Linked DNA regions of Saccharomyces cerevisiae S288C. The protein of the gene in region 1 interacts with the protein of each later gene in a biochemical or structural test. Each region holds a gene or a part of one and is shown on either strand. Other genes may lie near its edges. The genes, in order: RHO3 and TOS7.

The links.
Region 2: the proteins of RHO3 (region 1) and TOS7 form a complex in vitro, tested with the Saccharomyces cerevisiae proteins (one study listed by BioGRID).

What each region holds. Positions count from the first base shown.
Region 1 is NC_001141.2:137,976-141,171, forward strand, and holds RHO3 (Rho family GTPase RHO3), read left to right. Parts: upstream 1-1,776; coding exon 1,777-2,472; downstream 2,473-3,196. Other genes in the region: pheromone-regulated protein PRM5, read right to left, coding at 2,638-3,196. UniProt on the Saccharomyces cerevisiae protein: Plays an important role in cell growth. Required to keep the uninucleated state. Modulates morphogenesis during bud growth via directing organization of the actin cytoskeleton and the position of the secretory machinery for exocytosis.
Region 2 is NC_001147.6:286,904-291,384, forward strand, and holds TOS7 (Tos7p), read left to right. Parts: upstream 1-1,994; coding exon 1,995-3,650; downstream 3,651-4,481. Other genes in the region: aromatic amino acid transmembrane transporter TAT2, read left to right, coding at 1-1,047; YOL019W-A (uncharacterized protein), read left to right, coding at 1,517-1,669; t-SNARE syntaxin TLG2, read right to left, coding at 3,978-4,481. UniProt on the Saccharomyces cerevisiae protein: Protein involved in secretion and cell wall organization. Contributes to cell surface-related functions as a auxiliary component of MCC/eisosome that specifically interacts with the secretory pathway.

The DNA.
Region 1 (3,196 bases):
CCATGAACTGTAGTCTGGATAACCAAACGGAAAAAAAGGAAATACAAAAAAAGTCAGATTGTAAGGAAAAAAAAAGAGTAGTTTCAGTATTACGAAAACTATTAGATCTTTCTTTAATTTGAACAAGAAAACAAGACTATAAAAAAAAATACTCTTTAGGATGCAGACATAAAAGAACAATACGACCGTCCCTTATTTATATATAGTCCATAGAAATAATCTCAACCAATATAATATGCAAGAAAATAACGAAGTAAGGAACAAGCACAATGGTACGCCCGGTCTTGAAAAAGTTTAAAACAGTACTCGACCCTAGGCGCTAGGGTGGGTGACGCATTTTAACTTTGCAACAGAATGCCATATGCGGTGTTAACCTCACAAGATCGGCTCTACTATCTGCAAGCTGCGGCAAATACCAGAGAAAATTCCATTCCCGTCGACAAAATTTAACCGACCCCCCCCCCCCCCAATTTACGTTTATCAGCTAATCCAAATGTGGAAGGGCAACATTCTCGACGACTCCTTTTTCCGTAATTTAAGTTTGCCCAGGCAAAATCTTATACTTGTTTTCGTAAGAGAAAGATGCGCAGATCCTTTAAGGTTACCTTCAAGCAAATCCAGAAGCACAAATGGCAGGGGAGAAAAGACATGAAGCAGGAGTAGTCAACCGCAAAAACCCCCGCGGGCTTGTTGTTCTGCACATTTTTGATGTGTTTGTTCCTAAGACAAAGTCCTAACTTAGGGTAGTAAGTGACTATATTCTGCACGCTCTTAAAGCAGCCACCTCGTTTAATTTTGCATGCTTATATAAGCTTATAAACGAAGTACCTGAGGACCTGCATCGGCCGGCCCATGTGAAAAGGAAGTATTTACTTTTTCTTCTTCTTTACTATGGAAATAGCTGGAATCCGACTATGCATATGCGTAAGAAAAGAAAATGAAGGAGTTTTCACAGGAAAGCACACTTGCATACTGGGCACAAGTGAGGAGAGGGGCCTGTAATGCTTCTGTGTTTAAAAGACTCCGAAATTAGTCAACGCAGATTTGCAGATGCACGCAAGAATACATAATCAATCACAGTAAGCACATCTCCCCAAGGAAAGAGTAAATGCCTTCGAGCCAGCATTGTGGTCATGCGAGATGTCTAAGAAAAATACTTCGATAAGCACGAGGAAATGTAATATGTCTATCTACCTTATTTTTTTTACAATAAACATATAATAAATCCCTTATCTGGTCACGTGAATTAAACTTCGGGTGTGTTGTAAGAATGGAAGGAGTAAGCGAAACTCAAATTGAGGCCACTTACCACTTCCGGTCGAGCCCGGCCCAGAACCAGTCGTCGGCCAACTTTTTTCTTGGAACAGCGTTACCGCACCTACGCGAGAAATAGTAGATTATAGATAAGAAATACAAGGAGAGGGGTGTGGATGAGCTTTTTTACAAAATAGTGTAAGGCGTCCGGGAAACCCCAAGAACGTTTTTTGACATCCACTAACAGGATTACCCGTCATAGATATACTGGTGCCATTACCCGTTAATGGCATCTTGTATATTTCTTTTATCTTTCTTAACATTCCTGAAAATTGGTAAACAGTAAAAAGAAAAGAAAAAGAAAGAAAAAACATGTATTATTTTGAATTTACTGGAAAATAGGCAACCATTGATTTTCGTTTTTTTATCGTTCTCATCTCTAGCTCTGGTCAGCATTTTTTACTTTATAACAACAAGTTTTTCATTAAAATCCATAGTAGCACAAGGTAAAGGGAAACAAACATGTCATTTCTATGTGGGTCAGCTTCAACGTCAAATAAACCGATCGAAAGAAAGATCGTTATTTTGGGCGACGGTGCCTGTGGTAAAACTTCGTTGCTGAATGTTTTCACCAGAGGTTATTTTCCCGAAGTTTATGAGCCTACTGTTTTTGAAAACTATATCCATGATATTTTCGTTGACAGTAAACATATCACGCTATCGTTGTGGGATACTGCGGGCCAAGAGGAATTTGACAGGTTACGATCCTTGTCTTATTCAGATACGCAATGTATAATGTTATGTTTCAGTATTGATTCACGCGATTCTTTAGAAAATGTCCAAAATAAATGGGTGGGTGAAATCACTGATCATTGTGAAGGCGTCAAGTTAGTCTTAGTTGCACTAAAGTGTGACTTAAGAAACAATGAAAATGAATCTAACGCAATCACACCGAACAATATCCAACAGGATAACAGCGTTTCTAACGACAACGGAAATAACATAAATAGCACCTCAAACGGCAAAAACCTGATAAGTTATGAAGAAGGTCTAGCTATGGCTAAAAAGATCGGTGCGCTACGTTATTTGGAATGTAGCGCTAAGCTGAATAAAGGTGTCAACGAAGCTTTCACAGAAGCCGCAAGAGTTGCTTTAACCGCGGGCCCAGTAGCAACCGAAGTGAAAAGTGACAGTGGATCCAGCTGTACCATTATGTAATATAATAAGACACGGACGCACACACAAAAGAATAGAACCCAAAAAGAGAGACTAAACAAATAATATAATAAGTTATAGAAGTTAATAATACTCCTACTATTTTATATTTTTTATGTAATTACTACCACTGCTTAAAAAAAATATTGCAAAATATCATAAAAGTTTTTACTCATCCTGTTCTTTCCCCTCCAGCATGTGCTCGAGATAAGTCGAAGGTGTAGGTTTTCTTTTGGACTGTACGACCAACAAATTACCCTTACTATGGTTACGATTTACGCTACCATCACTTTCTGGTGAATTAAGCAGCTTTCGACTTGGTGAAGATGCAATTTTTGCGGGTTTCCTTATGTCTTCACCCACCTCCTTTTCATTACCGTTATCGAGCGACGATGCGGATGATGAAGAGATTGTAGACACCAGAGAATTTGTAGATACATTATCACTTGTCATAATCACAGGTTTCTGTAATAATCTAGGGCTTTCTTGGTAAAGTTTAGATAGCCTTGTTTTGTATAAGATATCACCTGTTGGTGAAATGAAAAGTGAATTTCTGTTGGATTCGGATGCAAGAGAGAATAGCGGCCTTTCGAAATTACTTAAGAATGGTTTTTCATTATTAGTATGAGATACAAGTGCATCTTTCACCGATTCATCCTTATTTCCGGGACTAATATCGGACTCGCTGATATGGACCTGATCTTGGAAATTTTCTTTGGCGGGATAA
Region 2 (4,481 bases), on another chromosome or scaffold:
GGTGGAGGTCCCGACCACGAGTTCATTGGCGCCAAATACTGGCACGACCCTGGTTGTTTGGCCAATGGGTTCCCGGGCGTTCTATCTGTTCTTGTTGTTGCTTCGTATTCTCTCGGTGGTATAGAAATGACGTGCCTGGCATCAGGTGAAACGGACCCCAAAGGCTTACCAAGTGCTATCAAGCAAGTGTTTTGGAGGATCTTATTTTTCTTTTTGATATCACTGACCCTGGTAGGATTCCTGGTTCCATATACAAACCAAAACTTACTGGGTGGTTCATCTGTGGACAACTCACCTTTTGTCATTGCCATAAAATTGCATCACATTAAAGCCTTGCCCTCCATCGTCAATGCGGTCATCCTTATCAGTGTTTTGAGTGTAGGTAACTCCTGCATCTTCGCTTCAAGTAGAACGTTGTGTTCGATGGCCCACCAAGGCCTTATTCCATGGTGGTTTGGTTATATCGACCGTGCTGGTAGGCCACTGGTTGGCATTATGGCAAATTCACTATTTGGATTACTAGCATTTCTGGTCAAATCTGGCTCGATGTCTGAAGTTTTCAATTGGTTAATGGCCATTGCCGGCCTGGCCACGTGCATTGTCTGGTTGAGCATCAACCTGTCACATATCAGATTTAGACTGGCGATGAAGGCTCAAGGGAAGTCTCTGGATGAATTAGAATTTGTTAGTGCTGTCGGGATTTGGGGATCAGCGTATTCCGCTTTAATCAACTGTCTAATCTTGATAGCTCAATTCTATTGTTCACTATGGCCCATTGGTGGCTGGACCAGCGGCAAAGAAAGGGCTAAAATATTTTTTCAAAATTATCTGTGTGCCTTAATCATGTTATTTATATTCATCGTCCACAAAATTTATTACAAGTGTCAAACAGGCAAATGGTGGGGGGTTAAGGCGTTAAAGGACATAGATTTGGAAACCGATCGTAAAGATATCGACATCGAAATAGTCAAGCAAGAAATTGCCGAAAAGAAAATGTACCTAGATTCCCGTCCATGGTACGTGAGACAGTTCCATTTCTGGTGTTAATACCGAAGAAACAAGTTCAATTTATTTTTGTAGAATATTTTTTTTTCTCTTCTCTAGTACTCATCCTTCATAATTAATTATTCCAGATCATTTAATGCATAACGACATGACAATAAAAAAAAAACCTGACATTTTGAAAAATTATCATTTGAATACGTGGATGAAGACTTCTTCGAGCCAGGCCGCAATAAAATTAATAATATATATAGACATCAATTCTTGACCTACACAAAAATAGCTTCTCTCGGTAGCCAAGTTGGTTTAAGGCGCAAGACTGTAATTTATCACTACGAAATCTTGAGATCGGGCGTTCGACTCGCCCCCGGGAGATATTTTTTTACTTTTGCACATCGCTGGTCTTAGCTTTTTTACTTGATTCGCATTGCAATCTATCTGCCAAGAATGAACAAGTATTTTTTTCCTCTGCATCTTTCCCTGCCGTAGGAATCAAATTTGCAACAAGTCTGCAATGTCTAACACCTTTGTTGCAGTCGAATTCTCGTGGCTGTACGCAATTTCTCTTATCCTACCGTGTGAAACAATTCGCGTCGCGTGGGCGCCGAAAAGGGCTTATCACGGCACATCTGAAGAAAAGAGACGGCTGGCTCCAGCTGATATTTAGATATTTTTAGTTGAATAAAGAGGCAGGCGTCAGCGATATTGCATTGTCGCTGTGGTGGGCAGAAAGCCACGGTAATGCATGTCCTGTTGTCTCTTATCCTTGTTGATAAGAAACCCTCTTGATCAGCTAGTCATAATTTTGTCTCTTCTTGCATTCTCTTTCCGATATATAACTTATATCTTCAGGTGTCAGGCAATAGAAACAACAAGGCACAGCGTTAAAAGACCATCATTTCATTTTAGCTTGTCCAAGCACATACCATTTTTCACTCAAGCTATAGCAGAGAAGTTAGTAAACATTAATAGATTATAATATAAGAAAGGCTATGAAGAAAAATTCTTCGGTAGTTTTCTTCCTTGTGGGTCTATCACAATTCGTCACTATGGCGTTTCTCATTATCGGATCCATTACGGCTCCAATTTTCAAACAAATAGGCTATTCTAAATATGATGAGATCACATACGGTACATTCGGCTACTGTAAAGAGGGCTCCTGCTCAAAAGCAAGTTATAATTATCACCCCGATGAGCTATCAGACAGTGATAGCAACTGGAAACTCAATAGCAACGCTAGGTCTATATTGGGGAAAATCATCTTTATCACACCCATTGCTGCTGGTCTTAATTTTTTGGGATTTCTTTGTACCATCATGAGCGTTTTATTAATTAACGTGCTATCCAGTGATAGAGTTGGTAGTGCGTCTGCCATCATGTTTTTTGTTAATTTGACATTTTCCACTCTAGGCTTTCTTTCTGCTTCTTTGATATGTATCGTGGTATTTTTACTGTTTTACCCACATGTAACCTGGTGTTCATGGGTCCTGATACCAGGAGCTGCTTTATCTCTACTAGTAATTCCTTTGATATTCTCAGCTTATTCAAGAAGCTCAGGCTCAAGGGATGATGACGAAACCGAGGAACTGGAAGAAAAGGGCATGCTGCTGAATGACCCATATCTAAGTTCGAAGTCCGGGAGATTCGATATCGACGCTGATAGTGAGGCCAACCTCCGTGGTGATTCAAGAACGAATTTATTGGGTGACAATTTTAAGAACGGTACTAATATCACTGTTGTCCCAGATATTATTTCACACAATCAAGATCCGAAATTATCAAACATAACCACTTCTACCACGTCTGATATTTCTACTTTCGATAAAGAAGCAAAGGACATGGAAAATTCAAATGGTTCCGGACTTAATGAAGAAGAGGACGATGGCATGGCCTATGACAAAAGGAGGTCAACTTCAACGTATTCTGTCATTGAAAGTGAAAGTGGCTTGAAAAATGGGAGTGTTTCTAATAATTATGTGAGAAACAATGGTAGTAACACCAGCAACAATATAAACTATAAAGTTCCGCTAGGAAAAACGGAAATATCATCCAGTGCATCATTAGCGTCCTCAGACTACTCTCAAAGAGAGGTCATACCGCACAGAAATCCTTCGAGACTACTAAACGACATCATGGAGACCTCCTTCAATGAACCAAACGATAGCCACATCAACAGCATGTCCTCCTACAACGATAAAGATTCAACGTTGACTTCAATATCACAGAGAGGTGTCAATCCGGAAGTATACAATCAAATGCCTCGAGAAACAGCCGCTGGTCCTGCAAATATAAGGCCGTACGCTGGTCAGCCACACCCGGCGCCATTAGTGTATCCCCAACAACGACTACAACCACAACAACAGCAACCACAGCAGCAATATCATCAATACAATTTATATCAAAGAACTACTCCTGCTGGTCCAGATCCTTCTAATGTTATTTTACAAAGCAATCCTTATTTCAACGTTGCCCCAAACCAAGTGCCACAGCACAGAAATCCGGTACCAGGCGTCGGTTTTGCTCCGAATCCTTTACCAAACCAAAGCCCGATAACACAAGGATATAAGCCTGCCTATAAGAGGAGAATGCAAAACAAAAACTTGCCCCGAGCTACTACTTCACTGAACAATCCTTACGGATTTAGGTAAAAAAAGAAAAATGAAGGTTCTTTTTTTTTTTTTATATTCTACAAATCACAATAACCACCAACTTGTATTAAACCATATTTTATCATCTTCAGGAACTACTTATGCACAATATTCGTTCGCCAGTCTTTACTTGCGGTTCAATTTTATCCCATATAAATTTGTATTTTATTATCATACTACATACTTTATTGAAATCATATATTAACCTTTTCACTTTTCTCAAATAGAACGAGCAACAGGTCATATGAACGCTGACTAAATCTCTCAATTTTCTTCAAAGCATATTATAGTTCAAAATCGCGATGCGGTACCGTGAAAGTTTTGTCATCAAAGTAGGTCATCCAAAGCATCATTCTCAGATTCTGTTACTTCAACGATACTCGGCAAGTTGCTCTCTTCGTCATTAATATGGGTATTACTGCCGTCATCATGACTGTTATTAACTGTTTTATTATCATCATTGTTGTACTTGTTGCTACCATTATTACGACCACCACTGCCACCGCCATGTGGTTTCAACATAACAAAGAAAAAGAGCGCTATTACGCACAATGTTAGTAATAAAATGACTTTACATTTTTGAGTTCTCTTCTGGTAGTGTGTTGCTTTATTCAACTCTTTATCTGCACTTTTTAGCTCTACCACTGTATTTTCCAGATTATAATCAATCCTGTCCACAATAGTCCCCTGGTCAACAACCAAATCTTGCATTTCCCTGAAAATAGTGCTCACTTCTAATACACCCCTTGCCAACTGAGTAATTTCTTCGTCACGTTCTCTCAAATATGCTTCTGCAGAAGTGTCATGAAGCTGTTGCTGTCTCTGCAACGT